3 linked regions of the Saccharomyces cerevisiae S288C genome follow. The protein of the gene in region 3 binds, or shares a complex with, the protein of the main gene of each other region. Each region holds a gene or a part of one and is shown on either strand. Other genes may lie near its edges. A codon is read from its position in the direction of its gene.

What was found.
Region 1: the proteins of EMC1 (region 3) and EMC2 are in contact, whole or in part, in a cryo-EM structure (PDB 6WB9), measured with the Saccharomyces cerevisiae proteins. Residues at the interface, in NP_009884.1 of Saccharomyces cerevisiae: Ser749 (codon at 5,614), Asn750 (codon at 5,611), Leu753 (codon at 5,602), Gln756 (codon at 5,593), Trp757 (codon at 5,590), Leu758 (codon at 5,587), Ile759 (codon at 5,584); in NP_012621.1 of Saccharomyces cerevisiae: Glu47 (codon at 1,241), Gly48 (codon at 1,238), Phe51 (codon at 1,229), Phe52 (codon at 1,226), Glu55 (codon at 1,217), Leu77 (codon at 1,151), Arg80 (codon at 1,142), Leu81 (codon at 1,139), Asn84 (codon at 1,130), Ser85 (codon at 1,127), Tyr86 (codon at 1,124), Lys87 (codon at 1,121), Met88 (codon at 1,118), Asp122 (codon at 1,016), Val124 (codon at 1,010), Thr125 (codon at 1,007).
Region 2: the proteins of EMC1 (region 3) and EMC4 are in contact, whole or in part, in a cryo-EM structure (PDB 6WB9), measured with the Saccharomyces cerevisiae proteins. Residues at the interface, in NP_009884.1 of Saccharomyces cerevisiae: Ser381 (codon at 6,718), Ile383 (codon at 6,712), Arg384 (codon at 6,709), Leu385 (codon at 6,706), Asn386 (codon at 6,703), Ser424 (codon at 6,589), His425 (codon at 6,586), Ile426 (codon at 6,583), Phe427 (codon at 6,580), Val428 (codon at 6,577), Thr429 (codon at 6,574), Glu430 (codon at 6,571), His431 (codon at 6,568), Tyr463 (codon at 6,472), Lys465 (codon at 6,466), Arg466 (codon at 6,463), Leu471 (codon at 6,448), Leu474 (codon at 6,439), Gly475 (codon at 6,436), Thr477 (codon at 6,430), Asp480 (codon at 6,421), Lys481 (codon at 6,418), Val483 (codon at 6,412), Tyr485 (codon at 6,406), Leu488 (codon at 6,397), Tyr489 (codon at 6,394), Pro490 (codon at 6,391), Asn491 (codon at 6,388), Leu492 (codon at 6,385), Thr512 (codon at 6,325); in NP_011283.1 of Saccharomyces cerevisiae: Gly163 (codon at 587), Ile165 (codon at 581), Ala168 (codon at 572), Lys169 (codon at 569), Gly170 (codon at 566), Asp171 (codon at 563), Leu173 (codon at 557), Glu176 (codon at 548), Arg177 (codon at 545), Ile178 (codon at 542), Ala179 (codon at 539), His180 (codon at 536), Tyr181 (codon at 533), Asn182 (codon at 530), Asn183 (codon at 527), Gly184 (codon at 524), Leu185 (codon at 521), Gln186 (codon at 518), Trp187 (codon at 515), Phe188 (codon at 512), Ser189 (codon at 509), Asp190 (codon at 506).

What each region holds. Positions count from the first base shown.
Region 1 is NC_001142.9:585,995-589,253, forward strand, and holds EMC2 (Emc2p), read right to left. Parts: upstream 1,380-3,259; coding exon 501-1,379; downstream 1-500. Other genes in the region: STE18 (Ste18p), read left to right, coding at 74-406; BIR1 (survivin), read left to right, coding at 1,724-3,259. UniProt on the Saccharomyces cerevisiae protein: Part of the endoplasmic reticulum membrane protein complex (EMC) that enables the energy-independent insertion into endoplasmic reticulum membranes of newly synthesized membrane proteins.
Region 2 is NC_001139.9:62,548-65,302, forward strand, and holds EMC4 (chaperone EMC4), read right to left. Parts: upstream 1,074-2,755; coding exon 501-1,073; downstream 1-500. Other genes in the region: TAN1 (putative tRNA acetyltransferase), read left to right, coding at 1-455; YGL230C (uncharacterized protein), read right to left, coding at 1,225-1,668; SAP4 (Sap4p), read right to left, coding at 1,956-2,755. UniProt on the Saccharomyces cerevisiae protein: Part of the endoplasmic reticulum membrane protein complex (EMC) that enables the energy-independent insertion into endoplasmic reticulum membranes of newly synthesized membrane proteins.
Region 3 is NC_001135.5:39,048-48,548, forward strand, and holds EMC1 (Emc1p), read right to left. Parts: upstream 7,859-9,501; coding exon 5,576-7,858; downstream 1-5,575. Other genes in the region: YCL049C (uncharacterized protein), read right to left, coding at 739-1,677; YCL048W-A (uncharacterized protein), read left to right, coding at 2,441-2,680; SPS22 (Sps22p), read left to right, coding at 3,118-4,509; POF1 (nicotinamide-nucleotide adenylyltransferase), read right to left, coding at 4,614-5,390; MGR1 (Mgr1p), read right to left, coding at 8,064-9,317. UniProt on the Saccharomyces cerevisiae protein: Part of the endoplasmic reticulum membrane protein complex (EMC) that enables the energy-independent insertion into endoplasmic reticulum membranes of newly synthesized membrane proteins.

The sequences.
Region 1 (3,259 bases), on a different chromosome or scaffold from region 3:
CAGAAATGTTTTGTGACAGCACCTGTCAATTTTAGGATAGTAGCAATCGCAAACGTTCTCAATAATTCTAAGAATGACATCAGTTCAAAACTCTCCACGCTTACAACAACCTCAGGAACAGCAACAGCAACAGCAACAGCTTTCCTTAAAGATAAAACAATTGAAGTTAAAAAGAATCAACGAACTTAACAATAAACTGAGGAAAGAACTCAGCCGTGAAAGAATTACTGCTTCAAATGCATGTCTTACAATAATAAACTATACCTCGAATACAAAAGATTATACATTACCAGAACTATGGGGCTACCCCGTAGCAGGATCAAATCATTTTATAGAGGGTTTGAAAAATGCTCAAAAAAATAGCCAAATGTCAAACTCAAATAGTGTTTGTTGTACGCTTATGTAATGATAGTAATAGAATCCAAAAAAAAAAAAAATATACATGCTTTTTCATATCCTCTCTCACCCTATCTTTTTTTTTCTTCTAATTTTGGCTCCGTTCATATCTTATTCAAAATTAATTCAGCGGTAATCTTATCTTTATTGTTAGACTTCGCAGAAATTTCCTTTAGCTTCGATGCAGATAGTTTGATCAAGTCATTTTGTTTATTACGTCCCAGTTCGCGAGAAATGATGTTAACCAATGCCCACCCTTTTAGGTATAGTTCGCTAAGTTCAACGCTCCTCAAAGCATTCTTTAATGCCTTTTCCAAGAGCTCGGTCTTGGTTTGTTTCTTGCTACGTAGAGCCTCATAATACAGAGTCTCACTTAGCCTACCAAAACAAGCGTAATTGAATGGTGTAATACATAGGACCTGTTCCAAACAATAACAGGCTTTTTCAAATTGGCCCATTTCGAAATAAATCTCGCTGGCATACCACCACAATTCTGCATCAAGCGGGAATTTATCTGTAAGAGCTACCACTTCTTTAAGAACACTTTCTTGGCTCAAGTTCTTGGAAGTTGTCTTGATAGCTATCAATTTCTTTGCAATAGAGACATAAGTAACGAAGTCCGTTTCATACTCCAGATCATCATTCAACAAATTTTCCAGATATTCAATAGCGCCTTTATCATTTCCGTTTATCTGCAATAAAGTGGCTTTCATGATTACCATTTTATACGAATTTTCACCAAGACGATCTCTTAATGTATTATAAACAACTTGCGCATCAACGTCTTGGTTTCGGTACACCAAAACATAGAAAAGCATTTCCATCAAGAAGAAATAGTTTCCTTCTGTTAGTGCAGAGTCTCCGCTTTTCATGTAAATTTTCATTTCATTTTCTAGTTGCAGTAATTGTTCTGGATTAAATTGAGTATACGCTTTGGTATTCATAATTGTCAAAAGCTTTTCTCTAACCAAATCCTTCAACATTGTTTTATCTACTGCTTTCTATAATTTTCTCCGTTCCAATGCGATCCAATGCCTTTCATTCATACATAGTTATTTATTTCATTAACGATCCAAATCTCTTTACTTAACTTCACTAGTCAACGCTTCTAACACATCACGCGATACGAAGATTAACAGTTTAGTATAATATTGCAATACATACCCATTTCACACATCGGTCAAGGTCATCAAGCACTTTTAGTTATAGTGTGTCCTATAGTTCTTTCAGATTGATTGAGGTTTCATATTAGTGTTGAAAGCCTAGCTAAAGTTCTCTGGGCGTGCAACATTCGAGGACACATCGGTTGTTTATACCTCATGGGATTATGGATGGTCAAATAGATAAAATGGAGAAGCGATATAGCATGACCAAACTGGAGAATAGGTTAAGGACTTTCCAAGATGGTGTTGCACTTGAAAAAAAAAAGTTAAAGTGGAGTTTTAAAGTTATTCCGTATCAGGCAATGGCCAAGCTTGGATTTTACTTTGATCCAGTGATCGATCCTAAGACATCTAAACTGAAAAAAGACTCTGTAAGATGTTGCTATTGTCATCGTCAAACATACAATGTGAGAGACTGCAGATCCAAAAGAAAAGATGTTCTTGAGACTCTAAGCAATATAATGAGGCAACATCTGACTGTTACTGATAACAAACAAGTTTGCCTCCTTATTTACTTGCGCAATAAGCTATTGACGGACTATAGCTTCCATATGGGGGTTTCGGACTGGAAAAATGACAAGTACTTCAGCAATCCAGATGATGAAAACGTGATAAACCTAAGAAAATTTACTTTTCAAGATAACTGGCCTCACAGTGGTTCTCAAAATGAACATCCGCTGGGTATAGAAAAGATGGTGAATGCAGGACTCATGCGATACGACTCCAGCATAGAAGGCTTAGGCGATCCAAGCATGGATAAAACACTTATGAACGATACCTGTTATTGTATTTATTGCAAACAGTTGTTACAAGGTTGGTCAATAAATGACGATCCGATGAGCCGACATTATAAGGTTTCTCAAAATGGGAACTGTTATTTCTTTCAGACACGTAATCGATTTGAGAGAATAAAAAATGACAATGACAGTATCACGAAAAATTGCGAAGTCTCTCCAACTTTAGGCGAAAATGGGAAAAGAGAAGTGATCAACACGAAAACCGCTTCTCAAAGGCAGTGTCCTTTATTTGAGTCACCTCCATCTAGTACTGGTCCTCAACTTGACGATTATAATGAGAAGACAGATATATCTGTTATTCAACATAATATAAGTGTGCTTGATGGAGCACAAGGCGAAAATGTAAAACGTAATAGTGTGGAAGAAAAAGAACAAATCAACATGGAAAATGGAAGCACTACATTAGAAGAGGGCAATATAAATCGTGATGTTTTAGCAGATAAGAAAGAAGTTATTTCGACACCAACTGCAAAAGAAATCAAACGTCCAAATGTCCAGCTAACCCAATCATCGTCACCTATAAAAAAGAAAAGAAAGTTTAAGAGAATATCGCCTAGAAAAATCTTTGATGAGGAAGATAGCGAACACTCCCTTAATAATAATTCTGCCAACGGAGACAACAAAGATAAGGATTTGGTTATAGATTTTACAAGCCATATCATAAAAAATAGAGATGTAGGGAGAAAGAATGCTATTTTAGATGACAGCACAGATGAATTCAGTTTCAGTAACCAAGGACATAACACATTTGACATACCTATACCAACCTCATCACATTTGCTCAAAGGTATAGATTCAGATAATGACAATGTTATACGAGAAGATGATACTGGCATAAATACAGACACAAAAGGAGCGTCTTCTAAACACGAAAAATTTTCTGTTAATTCTGAAGAAGATTTA
Region 2 (2,755 bases), on a different chromosome or scaffold from region 3:
TAAGTATCATGAAAGACTTAGCGGATCCCAAAAATATGGTTAAACGTACTAGATATGTTCAGAAATTAACACCTATTACGTACTCTTGTAATGCAAAAATGGAGCAATTAATCAAGTTGGCCAATTTGGTTATTGGGCCACACTTTCATGACCCTTCGAATGTTAAAAAAAATTATAAATTTGCTGTAGAAGTGACAAGAAGAAATTTCAATACGATTGAAAGAATGGACATCATTAATCAAGTTGTGAAGCTGGTCAATAAAGAGGGTTCTGAGTTTAATCATACTGTGGACTTGAAGAACTATGATAAATTGATTCTAGTGGAATGTTTTAAGAGCAATATCGGAATGTGTGTAGTCGATGGGGATTATAAAACCAAATATCGTAAATACAACGTTCAACAGCTTTATGAATCGAAATTCCGAAAGGATGAAGATAAGAGTGTAAAACAATAATCATATATGAAACAGAATAGATATTTTATATAAGTATATACGCTCTCAATCGGAAAACCATTGTAATCCATTATTATAATGAGCAATTCGTTCCCAGGGTAGCCAATCACCCTTAGCGTTAGGAATGAGACCCATTGAATTTAGTTTCCTGTATCCAATGTACATTAAGACGCCTTGGAATACGATATACATGAACATAGCAGTTTGCACTTGACTTTGTGTTGCTTTATTACCCAACACTGGTTTGAATGCACTCCTTGTTGAAAATATTGCTTTAATGGGTCCAGAGAGTAGCATGAGGGCAGTCATTATAGGAATGATTTGTAAGGATGTACCGGACATATACGACATAAAAATATTCATCGGAATAGATTTGGCTGGTTGTAACGCAATTTGCCATGCCTTCTGTACTTGTAATACTGTTATTTGGTTTTTTTGTGCCAAAGAAGTAGTTTGAGATGTAGCATCTTGTTGTTTTCTTGTAACATTTCCTTTAGAGGAATTACCTTCAAATCCTGGTGGTGAAGGTAATGTGTTTGAGTTCTGAATGTTGTATTTTTCGATATACTTGGTGTCCAATAGGTGTTTAGCCCATTCGTAAGGCTCCTGTTCACTCATTTCTGTTGCTTATATCGTTTGGCTTTATTTTAACCTTAACTGATATTATGTTCAACTTTTTTTCATTCTATTTATATAGAAAAGAATACGCTTTTTTTATTATTTATGAAAGGAACATGAAAAAACTACGAATGTACAAAAGCAGAGATTGCTAGAGAATACATTGGTCAAGAATTTTCGCATATGGAACGCATTGCTCTTTTAGATGGGCTGTTAAATAATCGTAATTTAGGTTAGTTATTGCCCTTTGCGTCTTCCGTGGAACAATGTTGGTCCAATAAATTATAAAGAAAAGAAATTGGATAGCACAAATAAAAGAGCAAGCGATAATGCAAAACATTAAAAGTCTGTTTTCCATTAGTTTGTAATATTCTGAGGTCATCAATAAAAACCATTTTTTCGTTCTTGTAAAATTGTATCTCTCATCTGTATTGGATTTTTCGACCATTTGAAAATCATCCTTGCTTTTTCCTTTATATTCAGTCGAGGAATCATTTGCTGTATTAGGCTCTGGTTGAGAAACCTCTTCAAGGCCCTTTTTTGGGTAGGCTTTCAATAAATGTAGAACATTGCCGGATAGTGTAATAATTCCCATTATTATGGTTTTGTTTTGCCTGGTTTGGGCCTGACTTTAGTTATATGATTATTTTTGTATAGATAGCTATAAGTTATTGAAAGTAAGCTAGACAATAATTTTTGGTGAATAGTTGGTGAACATTCCTGAACTACAAAGGACTATTGTTATATTTAGTTTACTTCAATTGGCCCCCAATAGGCTTCGTAATTTTTACATGTCACAAAATTAAATAAGGCAAAACGAGAAACAAAATATTAAAAATGTAGGAAAAAAAAAGTCAAAATTGGTTTGACGACTTAACCTAATCAATTTAAGTCGGAATGATGATCAACAATAACATCTTTAATTTTATCATGAATATCTAATTCGGTTAATTGACCCAATTCATCTATGAGCTCGGCAACTTTATCATGCAACTTAACATCCTCCTCGTGAACAATTTCATTCTCATCCATTGTGGATGGATGAGCTGGTTTACTCATATCAGCTTTTTCCAAAAAGTCCTGGTTAGTATTTTCATCGCTTTCGGCACAGAACTGGCCTCCACCAAGAATTATTGAACACATTGTCCTTGTTTCGTTCAAGATGTCACTAGAATATGACATCCAAACTTCATCTTGTAAGAAGGCATATATATCTGGAGCAATTAGATCGGTCTTATAAATTTTGGAATACTTCGCAATTTCTTCGGCAATTAATACTAATTGACCCATATAACCTAAATTTGTTTTCTCTTTTTCGTAAAATTCAAACGAATCCTTGTGGCCTTGTAAAATGAAATCAGAGATAATATGGAAGTCTTTAACAGGTAACTTTTGGTTGCTGCCGTACAAAGGTTTTGGGATAAATCTTGTAGACTTTTTGAAATCAAACAAAGAATAGACCAAAAATGAGTTATAAGAAAAATCCATTCGACCATTGAATATCTGCTGAATAATATCAAATACAATGTTGTGCCAAAAGTTATTCCAAGGATATCTTAAGAATAATTGTAGAAACTTTGGAAAAAACCCAAGGTCATGAAGTTTAATTTTGAATAAATCTCCAATGGTAGGGTTTTTACGTATTTTCAAATTTTGCGTTTCACTGACGTAAGGAATTTCAA
Region 3 (9,501 bases):
AAAGGCAATATATGAATGCAGTGCTTGTAACTGGTGCTTGTATCCAAGAATAGCTTCTTGCTGTAGGTTATGGGAATATCGTGTAAGCTGGGGTGACTTTTGAGCTATTCGCGACGCCCGACGCCGTAATAACTACTTTCGACAGACCACTTATGACAGTATTTCAGGCCGCTCTTATAAAATGACATGTTAACAAACAGTTCTGATTATTCGCCTTTTGACAGGACGATAATGTAAATAGTTGTGGTAGTATCATTCAGGTATGTAACTGTTTACTTTGTATCGCTTGAAAAAAATAAGCATTTCAGAGCCTTCTTTGGAGCTCAAGTGGATTGAGGCCACAGCAAGACCGGCCAGTTTGAATGCTCAACTCTTCAAAAGAAATTCCTCAAATATGTCCAGTTTCATGTACTGTCCGGTGTGATTTATTATTTTTTATTTACTTTGTAGTTCTTAAAGCTAAGATTTTTTTCTTTGATAAATTCTTGTTTTCATATCCTAAAATTAAAGGGAAAATAAACAATACATAACAAAACATATAAAAACCAACACAATAAAAAAAAGGATCAAATACTCATTAAAGTAACTTACACGGGGGCTAAAAACGGAGTTTGATGAATATTCACAAGATAAAAATCATATGTATGTTTCTGATATATCGATATACAATCAAACACTTTCAAGAATTTGTTTGTAGACTTTTTGCTAGAGACCTCATCAAAGTGCTACCAACTAAGATCAACTTATACTTCTTTTAGAGAAAATTTTTTTCAATGTACTCCAAAGAGATTTAGATCCTGTCTCTTCCTCTTCCTCTTCCTCGAAAGTCAAAGAAAAATCAGAGTCTCCCTGCTTATTCAGGCGGAGAGGCTCTAGGGTAGTTGCGTTTCTCTCATTGGGACACTGAACCTCATTTTCCAACATTTTGGTCATGTAAGAGGCGACAGGCTCATCGCAGGTGGGTGCATCAACATGGTAGTACCTGGACCAAGCGCTACATTGAGTCCCTCCTGGATAAACACCGCTACAATATTGTCTTTGGACGTTTGCCCAAACCATATCTTTTGAATACCAAAGCTGGACCACATTGTATGGCCTAATCATTGGTGCTACCATAATACTGGATTGGGAAACAGTCTGGTTAATTTTTTTCAACCAATTTTTCTTATCTAGCAATGATTTAATAAACCTGAAATCTAAATTGTCTTCGTTAGCGTCTGTGTCATAATCTACAATTGAGTACTGTGACGTCCAATTATATGGCACCGAGATGGGGAATCTGTCCGGTGTTTCGTCGCTGTTATCCTTCTCCTCCCTCCAAATGCAGTCAGAGGCAGGTGCCCATTCGGTTCGCCAGTCTCCGTTATTTACTACTTGGTACTGTTCCCAATCGTAATACGTTTCCTCTGGGTTGAAGATACTTGCTCTGCTCTTGACATTGCCCATAGCCACACCACGAGAAACATCGTGGAAGATTACGGAGCTGTTTACGATAGCAGGAGCAATGGATTTGACGAATGACACTTGATAAAAGTCTTTGGTCGAAAATACAGTATCAACGCCGTCGTGGGACTCGACCCCTGGTAGAAGAAGCAGAGCATCTAGATCAACGGTAGATGCTGCAGAGGTCAAAGCCACAAAGAGGGAAGATGCAGTTACGAGGTATTTACTAAACATTGGTTCGAAGTGATTACAGATTTTTCTCTCTTGAACCCTGGAATTGCAATAGCTTGGTTCCTATTGGGACCGGACCCTCTTGCGTAAAGTATATATTTAGAAGCAGCTATTTAAATCTGAATGCAAGACGAAAAAAAGCTCGTTTATAGGAGAAAAATACCAAAAAAAGGAAAACCATACACATTCGGGTATCCCAGCTTTGCTTGCAAAATCAATCGATGAGCAAGACAAACAGGGCCAGCTGATGCATATGTTTTGTGTTGCTTTCCTACGATCAGCTAATGCGAGTGTTATAAATATTCCCCTAGTTTTCTTCTCCTCCTTTATGTAACAATAACTTGTGGACTTCCCCAACATAAGACTAAAAGCAAAGGGATAACAAGGGATTTATCTTATTCCATCCCTTTGCCTAGCGCACTGTTACGCAGCTGATCTTATCAACAAGTGTGGTTCTTGCCTCTAAGATTTACATTGCCTTTTCCCAAAGGGAAGGTGGGACAAAACTCATTTTCCCTAAGGGGAAACGTAAGATACCCTTTAGGGAAGATAAGGGAAGTTAGTAGATTGACGACGTAAATCTGTGATGAGATGAAAAAAAAAGATTAGCATCTATATAAGAAAGTACATAACCTCCATTTAAGTTGAAAAAAATTTGTATGTAATGTCTTTTCTTCCTCTTTTCTTTATTTCATTCTCACCGCTAAATCGATAACGGCTAAAACAATTAAAGCTCCCTTTTCAAACCTTATACTTCCGTTAAATAATGCAAATCAAAAACATTGTCGCTGTTCTAGCTACAGTCACTGCTATCAACGCCCAAGTTGGCATTGAACCTAACGCCACTACTCCAAATGCTACGCAGCCAAATGCTACGCAGCCAAATACTACTCTTCCTACCGCTTCGGTGACTACGACAGTTTCGATTGGCGAAGCCGTAGTTAATACCATGGCGGCGGGTGCCTTTGGAGCAGCAATCGCTGCCGGTGTTGCCTTCTTATTCTAGGAACATTTTTATTTCCTTTATTTTTTTCTTTCTTTCTAATTCCATAACCGTTGTTCAAAATTGGGGAGCTTTTTAACTTTCGTTCCATTAAGCTTTTTCTTTGTTCTTTACGTTTGATTCTATTTCAACCATAATTTATTTTTTCGTTATTTAATAATTACTAATATTTAATACTAGATGTATATACGTTGTGTGTATGCGCTACTATAGTATAGCTTAACTGTTTTATTATACCCTTTTTTTCTCTCTTTACTGTACAGAAGATGCGTCACTAATTCAAAAAAAAAAAAAAAAAAAAAAATATAAAAAAGAAAGATTTTGGAGAAGCTATATCCTTTTGTGACATACAATAGAGAAACTTGTTCTGTTGGTAAGATATCTCATCTGAAATACAACAAGGAAAACCAAAAGCCATTTTTTCATTACTTGATCGACTTATGAACCGTATTACTAGGAAAAGTTGTTTATTCGCGATTATATTTGCATCATTATTTGTGACACATGCATTGGGTGCCGCTATTGATCCGCCAAGGCGACCACATAATGTGAAGCCTTTTCATAACGGTAATCTCGAACTTCAAAGAAGAGCAAATGAACCGTTTTTTGAAATAGATGTCAAGAGTCTGAACACAAACTCACCGATATCAGAGTTGTGTAAAAAAGATTTGCACGTCATTGAATCGTCTCATGATCTTTTTCATTTACAAAACCAATGTGAATTCATCTTGGGGTCATTAAAAGTCACAAACTATGATTCTAACATTTTGGATTTGAACAGCTTGAGGGCCATTGGTGGTGACCTGATTATTCAGGATTCACCTGAACTGATCAGAATCCAAGCCGGGAACTTGAATAAAATCGAAGGGCTCTTCCAATTACAGGGACTAACCTCTTTGGTTTCTGTTGAAATTCCAACTTTGAAATTTTGTCAGTCACTGGAGTGGAAAGTTGTTCCCATCTTGAACTACGTCTCCATGGATTCTCAGAATATTGAGATTATAAAGGATATTGTCATATCGGATACTTCATTAGCAAACATCGAGAATTTCAACAAGGTTCAGGAAATTGATACTTTCAATATCAATAATAACAGATTTTTAGAAACTATTCATTCGAACGTTAAAACCATTAGGGGACAATTCAGTGTACATGCGAACGCTAAGGAGCTAGAACTTGAAATGCCACACTTGAGAGAAGTGGAAAACATAACGATTAGGGACACATCATTGGTCTACCTTCCACAATTAACAAAAGTGAAAAGCTCTTTAGAGTTCATCGAAAATTACTTTTACGAATTGAACCTGAACAATTTGCAGAAGATTGGTGGAACATTAGGAATTATCAACAATGTAAATTTAATAAAAGTTAATTTGGAGAACTTAACAGACATTCAAGGTGGCTTGATGATCGCCGATAACGAATCCCTCGAGGATATTACTTTCCTGCCAAACTTGAAGCAGATTGGAGGTGCTATTTTCTTTGAAGGTTCGTTCAAAGATATCATGTTCGATAGCTTGAAACTGGTGAAAGGTAGCGCTTTTATTAAGAGTTCATCAAACGTGTTGGATTGCAATAAATGGACAAACCCATCAAATGGAAGATCAATCATCAGGGGTGGGAAATTCACTTGTATTTCTGGTAAGAAGGAAAATACGCTGAATGTTAAACAGGATGGTACAATCATAGAAAAAGGGTACAAAGATTTAACGCAAGAAGGTGAAGACTCCAAGAAAAGAGTGATTTCAAAATACGCGAACTCAGCAAATCCAAGCATGCAATTGGACCCCCTTCTTTTTGGTACATGCCTTGTTGCTATGTTATTGTTTTAAGATTACTAGTCTAGTATAACAGAAAGTTTTTTTTGTTCCTAATATTATCTTTATCTATATACATATATCTCCATGAAAGGCATTTGAATTTCTATCTTTCTCTTTCAATCAAATATTGTCTTATTATTGATCAAATAATCGTATATGCACAATGGCAACTCGTCTTTCAAACTCTCCACTTGCCCATTCTTCAGTTTGTTCCTAATCTCGGATGATGAAACATTTCTTAATGCTGGATAATCATTTTGCATAACATGAATCCTAGCGCCCCATTCTCTTGGTATTACCGGTTCGAATTTTCCCTCAAGGATGTCACTGGCGTATCTTAGTTGCGATTCAGCACTGAGATGGCAATCGCCTCTCGCCAAGCAATATAATTGAGATCCCGACATGAAGCTCTCCATTACATCACTGATTTTTAAAGGATGATAATATTTTTCATCAAAGATCCTAGCAATTGTATCAAAACCAACTAAGTAGCCTATATCTGCACTGCATCCTTTAACAAATTGCTCATGTAATATTTTGTCCTTGTCGATGAATTTCGAGAAAACAGTCAACCCGACAGATACTACAGATTGGGGGAGCTTCTCCTGAAGGTAGTCAGCGAATAAGCACATCATTTCCAGACGAGTTGGAAAAGATGCCGGCTTAGGCAACTTATCTGCATTATTCACCGCTAACAGTAATAAAACATGCGAACGGGTGTCCTTCAATTTGAAGTTTTTAATAGTCTGCGATAGTAGTTGAAAATGGGCCAGATGTGGTGGATTGAATGAAGAATCAAGGACAAATAACTTCTGACATTCTAGATGCTGGGGTCCTTTGAGAACCTGAAATAGTAAATTGCTTTTTCGAAACTGCTCGAACGTCTTCTTCATATTAGTCTGCTAGTGCACGTACTGCTATCAACCGTCATTGATTAAGTGTCCATTTTCCAAAGAAGTAGGAGATTATATAACCACGAGTATGACGTCTTCCAGGGAAAAAAAAAAAAAAAAAAAAGAAAGCCAAAATAAGGAGCCTTGAAATGTGTATCTGATATATATAATGTGTATGTAAATATCTATTTAATTAGCCATTGGGATTTCAACTTCTTGTTTGAAACAGAAGGACGGATAAAATACGTGATCACCAACAAGACGAATATAGTAATAAGCAATTTACCCTTTTCGAAAGTAGGACTCATTAAATCAAATTGGCCCGAAGGTGTGATCCTTGTACAAAATACATCAAGGCCTAGATCACATATAATGCTTGTGGATTCCAGATTGGTTGGGATGGAGATCAACTGCGAATCGGATCCTGGCAATAGATTTCTGAAATGAGTGATAATGAAATTATCATTAATTGGGATAACTGGCGTGTATGGGGTAGCCATAAACTCTTTTTTCTTATCCTTGGCCATTTCTTCTGCTGGTTTACCTCTTGCATTCAATAAAAGCTTTGGTATGTAGGTGATTTGTCCATTTTCTAATTCCATAACGATTGCCTTTGTGGTAATATCATCCGTTGTCTTGGAAATGGACATTGTTTTGATAATCTCGGGAAAAATGAATTGTTTAGTTTGAAATTGAGGTTTGTTAATGTGTCCAGTCAATGGATCATAAGAAAAATTGTCGCTTGAGTTAGACAAACGCTCATCTGGGGTTAGTGACTCATATAATTCCACCACTACTAACTTTTGTTCTGGAACAGGTTCAGAACTGAAATAGGAATAAACGACCCAATATTCACCGAAAACAATATCCATTGGAAACCTAAAATCCGGAGAATCCTTGTGCTCTTGGGTAATGAGGATTTCTCCTGTAATGGTATCAATTAAGTTAAAAGTGATTGTATGATGTTCTTCATTAGCGATCAGATAAGCCGCTAGGTTGGGGTACAAATATTTATAAAGAACCGATTTGTCACCTAGTGTAATACCAAGAGTGTTTAGGTTTGTTGTTTCCCTCTTGCTATATGCCACCATTTTCTCTTTCGAATTTACGGCTTTTTTCCAAGTTTGTTTTACCGTATCGTTTTCGATTATGTAGCCATAAATGCCATTCGTGTCATGCTCTGTGACGAATATGTGGGAACTAGAATGGTTGTTGGCAACTATTGGTACATCCGTATTCTTGCCGGGATTCAATTTGAACAGTAAATGATCCTTATCCTCAAACTTAATCAGATACTGGTGATCATGTTCATTCAGCCTAATAACGGAATCAACAGTTTTCCTTTCAGATAGGGGGGATCTTGATTTGATAATCGGTTGATCTTTAGTAACTTCAATTGTCAAATAATGCCCATCATGCGAAAAAACAACAAGTTCGTCATGGTTTTTATCCGTCCAGAACATTTTGACGCCCTGATCAATTTCTAAATCGAGTTTCCAGATAAGTTGGCCCTTATTGACCATATCAAGGCCGCCGATAAAGCCATCATGCGTCAAAACAATTAAGATTTTGGCGAATCCGAACTTCAAATCTGATACCGTGGTATCCTTAGCGTCTAGAGCTAGGAGTTTAGTGAAGACACGTCCTGGTGAGAATTGGTTTTCTTTCAATAAGTTGATAAGGCGATTCCAATTAGTTGTCAATCTAAGCCAGTAAGCATTCCAAAGCGAATTTGAATCAAGTTCCGCTTTCATATCTTTGTTCAACTCCACATCCCTAGAATCGAAGACGTCCAATACAGCATAGTCTACCACGTTAGTCAACCATTCATCTCTTTGCCAAACGGGGATCAATTCTGTGCCATTGGCAGAGAATCCCATATATTGGGTATCATTAACGTTCAACACTAACGCCAGGGGATCTTCACGATGAAAATATTCCACTTTATTGAACCCTTGAGGTAACTCCAATTTCCATTCTGCCAGTTTTGACTGCTCATCGAGAATATGTAGTTCATTGTTCTTAATAGATACTTGATCGTTTAAATATGAGGATTGAGGTAAAATGGTCGTAGAAGGGGCATTATCTACGCCTTCCTCTAGTAAAAACCAATCGTGTAAATCATATTTCTGCCAATGGTTGCTTGAAGAGTTCACACAAACCATTGCGTTATGGTCATTACTATCCAGTTGAATCTCATCAATGGTAAAGGGTAAAACGTTTCTGAAAAGAATCTGTCCGGAAGAAACGTTAAACGAAGAAACTAAGCAGGAAGTTTCGGTAGGGTTCGATAAGATGAGAACCCTGTTGCGGTCTCGAGAATCAGGGATGACTTTCTCCCAAGGACCTAAGTTAGCCAGTTGCCAATCAGTGATAAATGCATCATCTGAAAAAACGGCTTGGACACAACTCGTGTTTAGGAAGAGTAAAATGAAGACGTACACCAAGTCTGTACACGTTATCTTCATTGCTATGGGGGAAGGGGAGGATGAAAGTGTTGATATGAATGTAGGTATTAGTTATTAATGGAGTGTATATATATATATGTTATTATATATTTGCATATATAATATGAAATCCCAGCCATATTTTCTCTGGTAGCCGTCTGAAAAATCACGGTGTACGAAGAAGGATTTAATATACGCACGGTACAACTAAGCAATCCGCAAAGACCTAATGTGTCTTTTCATTAGTGAGAGCCTTGGGGGTAGGCCCTGGTAACGGCTGGTCCGTGCTAGTGGGTGTCTTGGTATGGGAGGGCATGGTAGTTGGTATGAATTTGATGCTTAGCGAAGTTTCTAAGGCCAAAGTCATCCATGGATCATAAAGCGATCTTATTGTATCGAGATCAATATCTTGCGGGCCTTTCGTGTCATGGGGCAAAATGACACCTCGGGAGAGTGTGGTGCTGGATCTCTTCTTTACTGGTGCGGAAATGGAATCTCCCGAAGATGCTAAGAAATGCAGTCTTTTTTCCACATTTTGTAGATGGAGTTTTTTGGACTCGGAAAGACCTTCAAGGCCAGTAGAAGAAGACTGCGGATTGTGGGATATGGAATTGATGAGTTCAATGGAATTTTCTCTAATGTTTCTTTTATTTTGAAAAAACTCGAACATGTCCAAGTGAAATTCCATGCGATTGAGGTACTCGTTGAAAGACATGGGCTTGTATTCCAAGGGTCCGAACCATTTAATAATGGGATTCTGCGCCTCAACTTGCGCTCTAGCGAGAGCGACGCTTTGTTTGACCTCAGGGATATTTGTCGAGAGAGGAGTACCGTTCATAGCATCCTTGACTTTTATTTTGGTGGGGTCTATGCCCTCGTGATAATATTTGACAATATTGTTGAAAAACTTCTTGTCACGTACGGATTTCATTTCGTCGCACCAGGGGTCGTATTTAAGAAAGTTCAGGCGAGTAAGCTCCAACAGTGACTGAGAAAGTAGCAAAGAGCCAAACAACCCCCATAAGAGCTTTCTGACGCTGACGAATCGAGATTGGCGAGGTATGATGGGAGGAGGGGCGAGCACAATGTCACCATGGGTGGTGGAGAAGCGGTTCAAAGTTGGAAAGTCAGCAATATCCTTTTTGATTTTAGTCTTGCCATTGACAATCATTTCACTGGGTAGTTCGCCAAAGGATAAATCCGAGTGAGTGCCAGTGGCAATGCGGCGCGGTGGCGGTAGTTTGTAGAGCCTTCTCAGTCTCCAAAGGGCAAAGAAACCCACTGCAGATTGGATAGTGATTAGAGTGTATAGTCCCGGTAGGTTATCAGGAGCGGGTACGAGCGGACCCCACAGTTTTAAGCCTAAACTTGGCCTTATGTAGAATTTCTTGATATCATTATCATCTTTGTCGTGGTCATCTTGTGTGTGAGTATGGTCGGTGGAATTGCTATTACCTGATGGAGGAGTAAATACAGCCATCTTTTATTACGGTAATTGGAAAAGGAGAGGGAATGGAGGAGGATGAGATAAGTAGTTTCCTAAGCAGTAAAGCAAGTGTCCACATTTAAGTAAAAGACGATGCCATGCACTTATTATTACTACGTGGTCAATTTTCTCTTTCCCTAAGGCGTTCGTGCAGTGTGACGAATATAGCGAACAACTA